2 linked regions of the Elephas maximus indicus genome follow. The protein of the gene in region 2 purifies or fractionates together with the protein of the main gene of each other region. This does not show direct contact. Links are inferred from orthologs where the notes say so. Each region holds a gene or a part of one and is shown on either strand. Other genes may lie near its edges.

What was found.
Region 1: the proteins of BTK (region 2) and ANKRD54 purify together in Homo sapiens (affinity purification with mass spectrometry; 4 studies listed by BioGRID and IntAct, counting the BioPlex papers as one, with this or other methods). This does not show direct contact. The link is inferred for Elephas maximus indicus from reciprocal best matches to the Homo sapiens genes BTK and ANKRD54.

What each region holds. Positions count from the first base shown.
Region 1 is NC_064822.1:181,735,794-181,743,346, reverse strand, and holds the start of ANKRD54 (ankyrin repeat domain-containing protein 54), read left to right. Parts: upstream 1-4,469; 5' UTR 4,470-4,594; coding exon 4,595-4,919; intron 4,920-6,221; coding exon 6,222-6,269; intron 6,270-7,553. UniProt on the Homo sapiens protein: Plays an important role in regulating intracellular signaling events associated with erythroid terminal differentiation.
Region 2 is NC_064846.1:56,724,606-56,731,624, reverse strand, and holds the start of BTK (tyrosine-protein kinase BTK), read right to left. Parts: upstream 3,085-7,019; 5' UTR 2,941-3,084; intron 1-2,940. UniProt on the Homo sapiens protein: Non-receptor tyrosine kinase indispensable for B lymphocyte development, differentiation and signaling. Binding of antigen to the B-cell antigen receptor (BCR) triggers signaling that ultimately leads to B-cell activation.

The sequences.
Region 1 (7,553 bases), on a different chromosome or scaffold from region 2:
CCCACCCAGTCATTTGCTAGGAGTTACAAGGCTGTGGTGAGAAAGGCCACATAAAATCGATCCATCACACCACAGCAAATCTCATTGGCTCTACCTTCACAAACACTCCCAGATTCTTCCTTTCCCCATCTTGGTCTCTGTTATCCCTGCCCAAGCCACCATCATCTCGCGTATATTATTGTAATAGCCTCCTCTCTCTTTCTTCCACTCTCAATCCATATTTGTAGAATTGCATTTGAATTGGAACCTATTCCATTTCTTGGCAGCACATTAAGCCTGCTCAGAAAAGGATCTTTGATCTAAAAGTGAATTGAACACCAACATAGACTATGAGATGTCTGAGCACAGGGTGTTTGATTTTGCAAAGCTTGCTTGTTGATAAAAAAGCAGTACGTGAAAGGGAAAGAAACTGTGAACAGACCAAAGCTCCTGGAATGATTTTACCTAGGAGAATTGCTGACAGAATTTGGCTGCTGAAAAGCTGCCGTATTTTCTCTTGATCTTCTTTTGCCTGGGGTTTGAAGCAGGAAATTCTCTGCCTCAGGATAGCCATGTCTTACAGTTGGCCTGGGCTCTTCTGCTGTATTCATTTCAAGCCCCACATCCCATTGCACCCTGGGGGTTGATATGTATTTCACTTACTATCCCGTTTGTTCCACTCCCCTGGGCGTGGTCTCAGGACTCCTTTCCACCTATGGCAATAGCACGTGGGCCCTGGGAGAGCAGTAGCTGTTCTGCACAAATCAGAGCTAGAAGCATTCTTAGCATTTGGTATGAGGGTCACAAAGCAAAATCTAAACGGGGGCTGCTAGATATAACAAATGAGTGAAGTTTCCTGACCACATCTTAAGTTGGATCCTTTCTTTCATCATAGACATTTAAGACTGTTGTTTTTGTACACAAATGTTCACTCATTTTCCTGAAAACACAGAGCCCTCTCTCTATAGCCTAAAACAATAATTCTTATATTGTTAAAAATATAATTCTTATGTTCTATATCTTGACTGGGATGGTGGTTACATGAGTGTATACATTTGTCGAAAATCATCAACCTGTACAACCTGATTATCTGTCCAGTTGAGAAGATGACCCCAAAGGTTACAGTTTTATTGCCCTGTGGGATGTGAACTGGTTTGAATCTAACTTAGCGATCATATTTCAGCATTCCTTTGACATAAGCTATAAGCAAATTTTTTTCAAACCAGTTCTGTCTCGCCATCCTAACTTCGAAGGAGCACTCTGGCTATACTTCTTCCAAGACAGACTTGTTCATTCTTCTGGCAGTCCATGCTATATTCAATATTCTTTGCCAACACCATAATTCAAAAGCATCAATTCTTCTTCAGTCTTCTTTATTCATTGTCCAGCTTTCTCATGCATATGAGGCAATTGAAAAGGCCATGGCTTGGGTCAGGCACACATTAGTCTGCAAGGTGACATCTTTACTTTTTAACACTTTAAAGAGATTTCTTGCAGATTTGCCCAATGTAATGCCTCTTTTGATTTCTTGACTGCTGCTCCCGTGGGTGTTGATTGTGGATCCAAGTAAAATAAAATCCTTGACAACGTCAATATTTTCTTCATTTATGATGATGTTGCCTACTGGTCCAGTTGTGAAGATTTTTGTTTTCTTTATGTTGAGGTGTAATCCATACTTAAGGCTGTGGTCTTTGATCTTCATCAGTAAGTGCTTCAAGTCTTCACTTCCAGCAAGCAAGATGGTGTCATTGTATAATTCAGGTTGTTAATGAGTCTTCCTCCAATCCTGATGCCCTGTCCTTCTTCATATAGTTCAGCTTCTTGGATTATATGCTCAGCATATAATGTTGATCAATACTTTTGGTATAATGACTCTGTTTATTCCTTCTATGTTCTTTTGGTGCTTCTTGGGTTGTTCAATATTTTGCCAATACAATCCTTCAAAATTGTAACTTTAGGCTTGAATTTTTTCTTCTGTTCTCACAGCTTGAGAAATGCTGAGCATGTTCTTATCCTTTTAGTTTTCTAACTCCAGGTCTTTGGGCATTTCATTTCAATACTTTACTTTGTCTTCTCAAGCCGCCCTTTGAAATCTTCTGCTCAGGTTTTTACTTCATCATTCCTTCCTTTCGCTTTAGCTATTCTACCTTCAAGAGCAAGTTGCAGAGTCTCTTCTGACATCCATTTTGGCCTTTTCTTTCCTATCTTTTTAATGACTTTTGCTTCCTTCATGTAAGATGTTCTTGATATGATCTCAAAGCCTCGATTTTGTAAAAAATTTATTTATTGTGCTTTAGGTGAAAATTTACAAATCAAGTCAGTCTCTCATACAAAAAGTCATACACACCCTGCTGTGCACTCCCAGTTGCTCCGTCCTTAAGTCCTTAATGAGACAGCACATTCCTCCTCTCCACCTTGTATTTGCTATGTCTGTTCAACAAGCTCCTGTATCCTTCTTCCTTCTCATGTCGCCACCAGACAGGAGTTGCCAGCATAGTCTCACATGACTACTTGAGCCACGAAGTTCACTCCTCACCAGCATCATTGTCTATCTAATAGTCCAGGCCAATCCCTGTCTGCAGAGTTGGTTTTGGGAATGGTTCCAATCTTGGGTCAAAGCCTCAACTTCCTGACCTAAAAGTTAAGATCTTGGCTGCTAACAAAGATGTCAGCAGTTTGAATCCACCAGCCGCTCCTTGGAAACCCTATGGGGCAGTTATACTCTGTGCTGTAGTGTCGCTATCTGTTGGAATCGACTTGTCGGCAATGGTTTTTTTTTTTTTAAGTGGGTATAATAATGCTTATCTGCTAATGCTGTGGTGAGGGAGAACTAAACGATATATATAAAGACCTTGGTACACGGTTGTTGTTGTTAACTGCCATTGAGTAGACCTCCGGCTCATGGAGACCCCCTGCACAATGTGATTGGTAAATCGTACACATTCAACAATGTGTGGTTCTTTCTTCTGTTCACTCTAACTACAAGTGCCGTTGGTGTATGTCCTTATCAGGGATGGGGAAGAGGTAGAGGAGGAGAGCTTAAACACAAACAGTATTTTTCTCCATGCAGTTAGCGGGTAGTACAATGACAGTCTTCATAATTGTTTTTTTCAGGCACTGCAAAACGTAGAAGTGCTTTTTCAACACTCAGACAAACATTTTAACTGGTGCAATGGAGTGGGAAGAGCCCTTGACTGGAACATAAGTCATGGGCATTGTCCCATAAAGCCTGGGCATCAGTTTAAGCTTCTTCTTTTTTTTAATGTATAAAATAGTGATAGTCCTCCTTACCGACCTTAGAGAAATATTTGCGGGGTACAGGGATGTGAGAATTCTTTCAAAACAGTGCATCTATGAGAAGTTAGTAAGTTTGTATTAACTAGCCAGACATTTTCTTTTTTCTGGGTCTGACTTCTCACCGGGGGAACGTGAGCATCTCAGTGGAACTGAGTCTGACCCTGTGTCCTGGGCGTTCCGGATCGGGCACAGAGAGATGTCTGGCTCAGTGACAGAATCCTGACTGAAGTGCCCTCTGGTGTTTGTTGTTGTCAGGTGCCCTCAAGTCGACTGACTCAAAGCGAAAGTGTAGAACTGCCCCAGAGGGTTTTCTAGGCTATAATGTTTACAGGAGCAGATCGCCAGGTCTTTCTGCCGTGGACCCACTGTGTGGGTTGGAACCGGCAACCTTTCAGTTAGCAGCAGAGCGCATAACTGTTAATTAAGAGATCTATCTCATTTAGGAGCTATTACCCTCCTATTAGGCAGCCGCGGTGACGCAATGGTTAAGTGTTCTGCGGCTAACCAAAAGGTGGGTGGCTTGAACCCATCAGACGCTCCAGGGAAGACTGCTTTCTTAAAGATTAAAACCCATTGTGGTGGGGGTGATTCCGACTCACAGCGACCCTACAGAATAGAGCAGAGCTGCGCCATAGGGCCGTACATATTTACGGCAGCAGACTATCATATCTTTCTCCCACATCTTCCTCCCGAGGAGCGGCTGGTGGATTCGAATCACTGGCCTTTTGGTTAGCCCTAAAGATTACAGCCTTGGAAACCCTATGGGACATTAGTCTTTTGGCTAAGTTGTTTTATTTATTTTTAAAGTTTATTGATTCAAAAAAATATTATACAGTATATATATTTTTGGCTTCTTCACTTTCTTTTCAGAGCGGCTCAGGTAACCTTAATGTGATTGGCTAAAGCACCTGCCCGTTATCTTTCCCATGATCCGACGGGGAAATTGGGAAAAAAAGTGTCTTAAACTCAGCTGTTTTATTGGCTCCGGTAGGGACGCACGGCAAAGACCGTGGGCACTTCTAATTTGTGATTAGTTTTTATGTCCGCCAGTCATGCTGCCGAAATTTCTGTCCAATCCTCTTACGCGTACTATGACCTACTTGCCGGATTGGCTGGAGGGGTTTACGCTGGAAAGCTTTTCATTGGCCCCAAACTCCCCGGCTCCCGGCCCAAGCCCGCCCCCTGCTCGGTTGCCGTGGTTGCAGGCCCGGCCCTGCCCGCTCGCTCGCTGACAGCGAGAGTTAGGGCGGAGGGAAGTGGGTCCGTCGGTCGGCCGGGAACGAGGCTCCGCCAGCTAGGCCCGCGCGGAATCGTTGCCATGGCAGCCGCTGCCGGGGGCGCGGACGATGAGCCGCGTTCCGGCCGCTCGAGCTCTGATGGCGAGTGCGCGGTGGCGCCGGAGCCGCTGACGGGCCCCGAGGGCCTCTTCTCCTTCGCCAGCTTGGGGGCCGCGCTGGGCAGCGGCACGGACCTCCCCGGTCGGGCGTCCGACGGAGCCCAGTCCCCGCTGCGCTACCTCCACGTCTTGTGGCAGCAGGACGCCGAGCCCCGCGACGAGCTGCGTTGCAAGATCCCCTCCGGCCGGCTGCGGCGCGCCGCCAGGCCTCACCGCCGGCTCGGGCCCACGGGCAAAGAGGTGCATGGTGAGGCGCGGGAGCGGTCGGCGGGCGCGGAGGGAGGCGGGCCGGCCGCGTGCGGCTCGGAGCCGGGGAGCCTGGGGCCAGGCTGCCGCCCTGCTGGGCCCCGTCATGGAGCCCCGGGCCCCGGACTTGTCCCCAGACCCCGAGCTAGGGGCCCAGGGTGACGCTGGAGTCTCCTTTCGATAATAATAATTATTATAGCAGCTAAGGGCCACGAATAAAAACAAAAAACACACCAAACAAAAAACTCCCTTCTCAGAACCAGTCACTCCTGACTTCTCACACTTGGCAATTCTCGAATAGAAACTTCATGACTCAGGGTGTTCCACTGAGTCGATTCCAACTCATAGTGATCCCGTGTGACAGTAAAGTTGCCCGGTAGGATTTCCTGGCTGTGATTTTAGGGGAGCAGATTGCCAGACCTGTCTCCCACGGCGTTGGTGGGTGGGTTCAAACCACCAGCCTTTAGGTCAGCAGTCCATGGCTTGACCATTTCCACCACCAGGTCTCCTTTGGTGTTTATTTGTTGTTGTGTGCCACGGAGTCTTCTAAAACTCCTGCTGTGATATATGTCTACCATAATATCTTTTATAGTTTATGGATGACATGGAAACTGAGGCCCTGAAGGATTAGGAATGGGAGTTTTAAGAGTCCCTTCTAGCACCTTAGGGGCGTTGTGAAGATTAAATGAGTATTTGAAAGTGCCGTATAAACCATAAAGTTTATATGACTGTCAGTAATTGTTACGTATCTTAGTTGCAGTTTTTGCCCATTTCTCTGCTGACAAAGGCATTTTTTTCTGTTTGCCTCTAATATACAGATCACTGGAGGGGAAAAATGTTTCTGCTTAGGAATTACCAAGTTTAGGTAAATCATTTGGGAATGGCCTATCTTGAAGGAGAGTATAATGAGATAATCTGTGTAACCAGCTCACAAAGAGCTTCTATGTAAATCATCTCATTCATTCTTGGAACAACTCAGGGCTGGCAGGACAGAGCTTAACTTTGTTTTGCAGATGATGGACCTGAGGACCAAAGAGGTCAACTGACATACTCAAGGTCACTCAGCCACTACAAGTGGCAGGGCCCCAGATACAGAGGCCTTGGGGAATTTGCTACAGAATGTAGCCTTTTCATTAATTGCGCTGCACTTTGTATTTCTCTTTGTTCCCAGGGTAGTATCTCTCAGATGCTGGCATCTTTCTCTCCCTCTCTGTGGCTGACGACTGGGTTAACTAGAAAACCATCCACTTTCAGGTTCATCATGGCCGTTTTTTTTAAACTGACACTCTTACTTTCTTTACAGCTCTGAAGAGGCTGAGGGACTCGGCCAACGCTAACGACGTGGAAACAGGTGAGTGTGCACAGTGGGTCTAGCTCCAGGGACCCGAGGGCTGGCTGAGGGAGGAATAGTCTAGGTACCTGGGAAGAAGTTGTTTTAATTCAGCCTGCCAGCTCATCCCTGGGACCAGGCTCTCTTACTTATTGTGTAACTTTGCAGTAATCCTGTGGGAGGTAAGTCTGGCTTCAATGCTCGCCCTCCCTACGCTCTTCTGCCAACCGGAACGTCCTAATGTCATAGCATTTATCACCCTAAGGGCTCCCTGATCCTGGGGACTCTGTCTGCTTTTGTATACCTGACACCCAGCAAAGTCCTCAGTAAAGAGTAGGTGCTCATTTTGCAATCTCTGGGTCATGGGAGTGAACACTCAACTTTAACTGCCAGGGGATCACCATGCTGATGCCACCCCCTTCAGCTGCTCACTGAGGCTTTGTGGTAGTTGGGTCAGTGGCTCTCAAACTTGTTTAGTTGACAGAGCACCTGAAAGGCATGGATGGCCTCCTAGCTGGATGTCACTCTGTCTATTTTTTGTTGTTACTCCCCAGGGTTCTCTAACTGAGAGAGTAATAGCAGCATCAAAGTTGCCAGGAAAATTTATAGGAAACATTTTTAAATTTTATCCACTTAATCCTTTCTGTGAATCAAGGAAAAGTAGTACGTTAGCTTTCAGTGGCTTCTCTAACAAATTACCACAGATGTAGTGCTTTGAAATAGCACAAATTTTTTATCTTACAGTTCCATGAATCAGAAGTCCAACATAGGACTCACCAGGCTAAAATCAGGGTGCCGGCAGAGATGCATTCCTTTCTGGAAGCTTTAAGAGGATAATCTGTTTCCTTGCCTTTTCCAACTTCTGGAGGCCACCGATGTCCCTTGGCTCATGTTCCCCTTCCTTTGTGTTCAGAGCCGGCAATGGTGGGTCAGGTCCTTCCCATGCTGCCATGTCTCTGATTCTTGCAGCAGGGAAAGGGTCTCTGATTTTAAGAACTCATGTGATTCGTTGGGTCTACTTGGATAATCCCGGATAATCTTCCCATCTCAAGGTTCTTAACCTTGGTGACATCTGGAAGGTCGTTTTTACCATGTACAGTAACATATTCACATGTTTCAGGGATTAGAGTGTGGACATCTTTGGGTGCCATTATTCTGCCTAGCACTAGTGGTAGAATGACATCTTGGTGGTGGGATCCTGTGGTCAGCAGCTGAAATGTGAGCATAGATGAAGGGCTGAGGGTTAGGAGAGCCCACGTACACCGGGCATGGAGAGGCGGCCGACTTCCTCAGGGAGCTGGGGTG
Region 2 (7,019 bases):
GTGACCCTACGTACAATGGAACAAAACACTGCCTGGTCCTGTGCCATTTTATCATGTTTAACGTTATTCCTGATTATTTCCCCATGTTATTGGGATTTCTCTATAAGCATCATTGAAGTGTCTGGATGGCACAAATGGTTTGCACTCAGCTACTAACTGAAAGGTTGACAGTTTGAACCCACCCAGAAGCACAGTAGAAGAAAGGCCTGGCAATCTGCTTCTGTAAAGATTACAGCCAAGAAAACCCTGCGGAGCTCAGTTCTACTCTGTAACACATGGCGTTGCCATGAGTCGATGGCAACGGGTTTGGTCGTATTTTATCCTTTTATAAGCATCATTTACTGAGTCAAAAAAGTACGTGTATTTTTTCATTTTGTTACATATTGTCAAAATGGTTTCCTGGAACATTGTACCAATTTCCACAACAAATAGCAGTTTTTGAGAGTCCCCTTACCCCTGCACTCTCAACTCCTTTATGCTCCATGTCTAACCAATTCATTTCCCTATTTTTGTTCACACTTCAGTGTTTTGCAGACTAATCTATTATTTCCATTGAGGCAGTGATCTTGGACTCCAGTACGTTCCAACCTCTAACTTGTCTCAAATTTACTTCTCTTGGCTCTCTAAAATTTTCTTCTGGGGTGAGCTAATAAAATGCAGTTTATTTTCATTTCAGGGAGGCAGGCCAGTAAGATGAGCTTCTCATTGAGGTTCAAATAACCAACAGTAGCCTAACAGCCATCTAGTGATGGCTTTCAGAGAGCCAGCCTAAACCCGGCATATTAAGGTTTCCAGCTTCCCAAAGCTCTCTGAACACACTCAGCCACTGCACTTAAATCTCCATAGAAACTGAAAGTCACATGTGGCCCAATTGTTTCAGGGTCCTCAGAGGAGTTCTCTTTCCCCCTCCCTTGGCTTCATTTGCATAACCAAGCAGCTTCAGGGGAAAATAGGTCAAGGTTTCTTCTGTAGCTTCTTGTTGAGCACTGACTCACTGAAAATTCTAGCTCACTCTTATTCCCAGGAGTTGCCAATCAGATCTGAGTATCATTGGGGAAAAGTGGCAGGTACCTGAGGACTTTTTGGAGAACATCCATACCTGGGTTTTCATAAGCCATATCTTCCCCTTATGAATCAACTCGACAGCTGCAGGTTTGGTTTTTGGATCTTACCCTTATACCTAAATCACTTCCTGGTATGGGTCTAGTCCACTGAAAGGAAACTCTTATAGGAAACTTGCCAGAATGGAAATAATAAATCATAGTGATGGTAATTTAAGATTGTCATCAATATCCTAGAAGTGGGTAGAAAGTTACACCAGTTCTCACCATGAAGAATTTACAAAGGATTCTAAACCAAAACATCAATAGCTATAAGCAACATGAGTTTGAACTTTAAAATAAGCAGCTAGTTTAGTGTGATGATAAAAGGGGTCAGAATAGAGCATATAGGGCTAGCCCTAAGGGGTGCCGTTTCTGGCGGCTTTAGGTTTCCATGAGCATTTGCATTTTGTGGCTTATTTGGAGGGTGACATTGTTTTATCAAATAACTGAAGCTTCGGAGAGGGCATAGCACCCTTGCTTCAGGGGCTTGGCATGCAAAATGAGTCAAGGAGCAGAACTAATACACAACTAAGAGCACAGAGGACAGCCTCTGAGCTGTGCAGACTCCCAACATCAGGATGTTGCTGCTGCCCTGCCTCTGGAAACGCACAGCACCGACTAGAGACTTCCAGCTTGGAGAATTGGTGGCTGAGAAATCGCACTGGGATTCCAGCTGGAGGTCCAGCAACTCATCCAAGAACGTTTTCAACAGGGTCAGCAATCTCTTATATTCTAAATGTCATTTCATTCGCTCTAAGCAGAGCCCTCTGAGGACACTGGCAGATCTCAGGTGGAATAAAAATAATAGCCAACACTGAGAGATAGCACTTGCTATGTACTAGGTCCTATTTTAACTGCTTTACATATATTAACACTTTGAATCCCCGCAACAACCCTATGAGGAAGGTACTAGGCAAATAGGGTAAAGGGAAAAGAGTAGGGGAAGGAAAGGGCAAGAAAAATCCAATGCATCATTTATTAAGTGCTGACTTTGTGCCAGGGGATATAGGAATGAACAAAATACAGGAGGGTATAAAAAAGAGGGGAGATAGGTAGAGAAAGGAGGAGGAAGAGAAGAAGGTGGAAGATGAGGAGGGAAATAATGAAGACCAGAGAAAAGAAGGCCATGCACATGGTAGGCAGTAGTAATAGGAGAAAGCTTCACCACGACCTCAGGGTTTGGCCACACAGTGTCTGGGCTGAGGCTAAGGCTGCCTTCTTCTGGCCAAGTCTCTTACCCCCTATTACCACGAGGTTGGCTCAGCCTCCACACAGTCCCTCCAACAAGCCAGCTCCGGTCCCAGGCCCCGGTTTGGCCTGATGCAGCTCTACGTAGTTAGCTTTTCCCCCGCTCACGAAGGTCAACTGCCTATTGTGGCATGTGAACTTTGACAGTTTTCTCAGAGAATCTGCCTCATAAAACTTCTTCTAAGGGCTTCGCTGACACAAATCTACATTTTGAGTCTTCAAGCACTATTTGACCAAAGGGCTTATTTTTATCCCACTGGCACCTGCGGTGTTATTTTTCCGCCAAGTTTTGCAGAGGCGCCCCTTTCCAACACTGGATACCTGTTCAGACGGTCATCTCTTGTTACCTTTTTCTCTTTGTGCCCCTCCCCACCATATCCCTCCTTAAAAAAGACCCCTAAAGCCCCTTCTGATCACCAGAAGGGACTGCCAAGACCTTGTGCTGAAGATACTACCCCCCAGCCCAGCAGCCTCCTCCGCCAGCCGACTCTATGGCACCAGCCCTGCTTTCTCTTTGGCCTTCAAGGGCCCCCAGAAAGGTACTTGCTACTGCTGCTGCTTCCCAGCCCCTGCCATGCCCCAGACCCACCTCAGTCCTGACTTAAAGCAGGTAGCTTCCCAGATGCATTGAGATGCCGGGACTTTGAAGGTGGGACTCGATCTCAGAAGACACTGGCCCTGGAGACATATTCTTACAGTCCAGAGAGGAAGGACAGTCTGAGCAAACCCCACCCTTTCACAGCCACTCAGTTCCCTTTTTTTGTTTCCTGACTTAAACCAATGTCTTTTTTTTCTTCTTAGCAGCATGGTATCTGGTTCCCTGCTGCTGTCCCTGTTCCACCCCCCCCCCCCCCCCGCAGCCGTCTCCGCCCTTCATTTGCTTGGAAACTCCAACGTGATTATCATGCTTCCTGCTCTGAAAGAACCCTCCTTAACATGACTGTGGCCATTGAGACTCTAGAAGGGGCTGGGTGGAGCAGATGGGTGGGCAGGCCGAGCTCCCCCAAGGTAAAGGGACGACATGCCGGAAGGACTGTGGGGATGGTTAGCACAGGGAGTGGAGACATATAGGAAAGAGGAGAACTGCACAGACTGGCTGAGACAGGAGGAAGGGAATGCCGAGGAAGAGTGTCTTTTGAGGCTCATGTCCTCTGAGGTGGAGGAGACTTGGGGCCACACAGGTAGAGTTGATGGTGAAGGATGGAGAGTGCTCACACAGGGACCCCAAAGTACAGAGCCTGACAGAGGTGGAGACAAGACTTCCCCCTGCTGAGTCATTTTCTAAGAAAGCATTTTTTTTCTATAGATAAAAGAGTCAGAATGTAAGCCCTAACAAGGGCTTGTGCCCTGTGCCCGTTCCCATTTCCTGTGAATGTTGATTTTCTCCATTTAAGATTTGGCCTCAGGAATTAACTCTTAATTTACACTTTGCCCTTTAATCCTATGAAGTGATAAACCAGACTGGGTGCACAACTTGAAGCCTAGATGTTTTCTAAACGGCCTCCTAGCCTGTTTCAACTGCAATAGTCTCCCCTAGGATTCTCCTTGGAAATACAGCCACTATTGGCTGCAGATAGTGATGGCAGCAGAGGCCCTGGTGACTGACCTGCTTTCCTACCTTGACACATCTGGTACTCTCATATCTACTTGTTCCTAAGCACTGTACACTAATGTAGAAATAGGAGTCCCTTGGGTGGCGCAAATGGTTAAGTGCTCAGCTACTAACCAAAGTCGGCAGTTCAAATCCACCCTGAGGTGCCTCAGAAGAAAGGGGCCTCGTGGCCTACTTCCAAAAAGTCACAGCCATTGAAAACCCTATGGAGCACAGTTCTACTCTGACATACATGGGGGTGCCATGAGTCAGAATTGACTTGACAGCAACTAGTTTACTGGTTAAGCACCTGTTATGGATTGACTTGTGTCCCCCAAAATATACGTATGTTATAAACTTTATGCTTATAATCCCATTTGGGAAATGAGTTTTCTTTGTTATGTTAATAAGGAAGTTTTAGTGTAGGGTGTGTCTTAAATCAATCTCTTTTGAGATATAAGAAGAGCAGATTAACCAAGGAAACAAGCAAGCACAGATGGGGGAAGATAGATGCCATGCCACATGAAAATCACCAAGGAGCCAAGGAACAGAAGCTGAAAAGAGATAAGGACCTTCCCCCAGGGCCCTAGAGCTAACACAGACAGAAAGCCTTTCCCTAGAGCCAGCGCCCTGAATTTGGACTTCTAGCCTACTAAACTGTGAGAAAATAAATTTCTGTTTGTTAAAGACACCCACTTGTGGTATTTCTGTTATAGCAGCACTAGATGACTAAGACAGCACCATACCCTAATGTAGAAACAGATCCCAGATCCCATTATAAGCCTGGCAGAATTTGTAAATCAATATTGTTGTTAGTTGCCATGGAGTTAGTCCCTGACACAATGAAGTGAAATGTTGCCTGGGCCCTCACCATCCACTTGCTACATTGCAGATCAGACCATTGTGATCCATAGGGTTTTCGTTGAATACACTTTGAAGTAGATCACCATGCCTTTCTTCCTAGTTCATCTTAGTCTGGAAACGCCATTGAAACCTTTTTTTTTAGCATCATACACTCAAGCCTCCAGAGACAGTCAGGTGGTGCCTGCACTTGAGGTGCATTGTCTGGGAATCGAACTGAGGTCTGAATAGAAAGTGAGAATTCTAGTACTACACCCTTTAAATCAATAGGGCTTTAAAAAATGGCATTTGTAGGATGTTAGAGTAGTTAATTCACACATCTGCACAAAGTAGATAAGAAACCCTGGTGGTGTAGTGGTTAAGCATTATGGCTGCTAACCTAGAGGTTGGCAGTTCAAAGCCGCCAGCTACTCCTTGGAAACTCTATGGGGCAGTTCTACTCTGTCCTGTAGGGTCGCTATGAATCAGAATCAACTTGACAGCAGTGGGGTTTTTTTTGGTTTTGGTACAAGTGTTGCATGATCTCCCTATTTTATTGATAACTTATATCCTTTCACTAGTCACCCCTGAACAGCTGCTCCAGTTGCCAGCCTGTGAACTGGCCAAAGAAATTCGTCCTCCTTCCCTCCCTTTTTCTTTAGTCAGATGCTGCTTACTGTCACATGCCCTGTCCCTTCTCAAGGTCCATTTTTGGGTGGGGACTGGGAGTTGATAGATATAAGATGGGAGATCTAGACAAGGGAGTGGAGGACAGGAGAAAGGGGAATGTAAATTTCAGGCTGTTCCTCGCCTTCTGCCCCACAGCTGCTCCCCTAACACACTTGTCTGTACTGACAGAACAACGACTGTACCCAAATAATGCAAATGAATGGCCTAGTGTCACCTCAAAAGATTCCCAATGTAATATAAGGTTCTATTCTTGGTGTTGCCCTGTTCAACATTTCTATTGATGACCTTTAGGAAGGTATAGAAGATACAGAAATGAAGATATAGAAAGTAGCCTAGCTAATTTGTCCATTGTGCAGAGCCGTGTGAGCTAGACTGGATGGTGGAATCAGAATAATTAGTTTTCAAAATGATCTTCATCACCTGTAGTGATAAGCCAAATCCAGTAAAATGTATCTTACCAGGGCTAAGGGTTATGTCCCATAATTGGGCCCAACATTAAACCTCAAAGATTCCAGGTGAAAGTGGGGTATCAGTAACACTTGTGAATATGGCTCAGGGGTTTTTGCTACTAGTAATCAAGTGAAATGTCAAGCCAGTGACGTGGCTGCCAGAAAGCCAAGGTGACAATAGGCTTCACTTGGAGACGTAAAATACGTACACAGAAAAGTCAATGTGCTACTTACTGCATGGTCAAGGCACATTTAGAATTATGTGTTCAGTTTTGAGAGCCTCATCTTGTTTTGGTTGTTAGGTGCCGTCTAGTCGGTTCCGACTCACAGCGACCCTATGTACAACAGAATGAAACACTGCCCAGTCCTGCGCCATCCTCACAATAGTTGCTATGTTTGAGCCTATTGATGCAGCCTCTGTGTCAATCCATCTCGTTGAGGGTCTTCCTCTTTTTCACTGACCCTCTACTTTACCAAGCATGATACCCTTCTCCAGGGACTGGGGTCTCCCGATAACATATTCAAAGTATGTGAGACGAAGTCTCGCCATCCTGGCTTCTAAGTAGCATTCTGGCTGTACTTCTTCCGAGACAGACTTGTTCTTTCTTCTGACAGTCTGTGGTATATTCAGTATTCTTCACCAACACCATAATTCAAAGGAATCAAGTCTTCTTCAGTCTTCCTTATTCATTATCAAGCTTTCCCATGCGTGTCAAACAGTTGAAAATGTCAGTAAACTATTAGCTGTTATAACTATTACTGTATAATGGTAAAGGGACCCATACTCTGAAGTCAGATTACCTGGGTTTGTATCCTGGATCCATTAAATACTGTCGACATTGGGCAAATTGTTGAACATCCTACAGCCTCAATTTCCATATGGGTAAATAATAATACCACCTACCTCCTAGAACTACTGTGAGAATTATATAATAATCCATTTTAAATGGTTAGTACCCGGCCTGGCATATACCAAAGAACAAAACAAAACAAAAAAACAACAACCCCATTGCCATGTAGTTGGTTTCGACTCATAGTGACCCTATTTGACAAAATAGAACTGCCCCATAGGTTTCCAAGGAGCAGCTGGTGGATTCG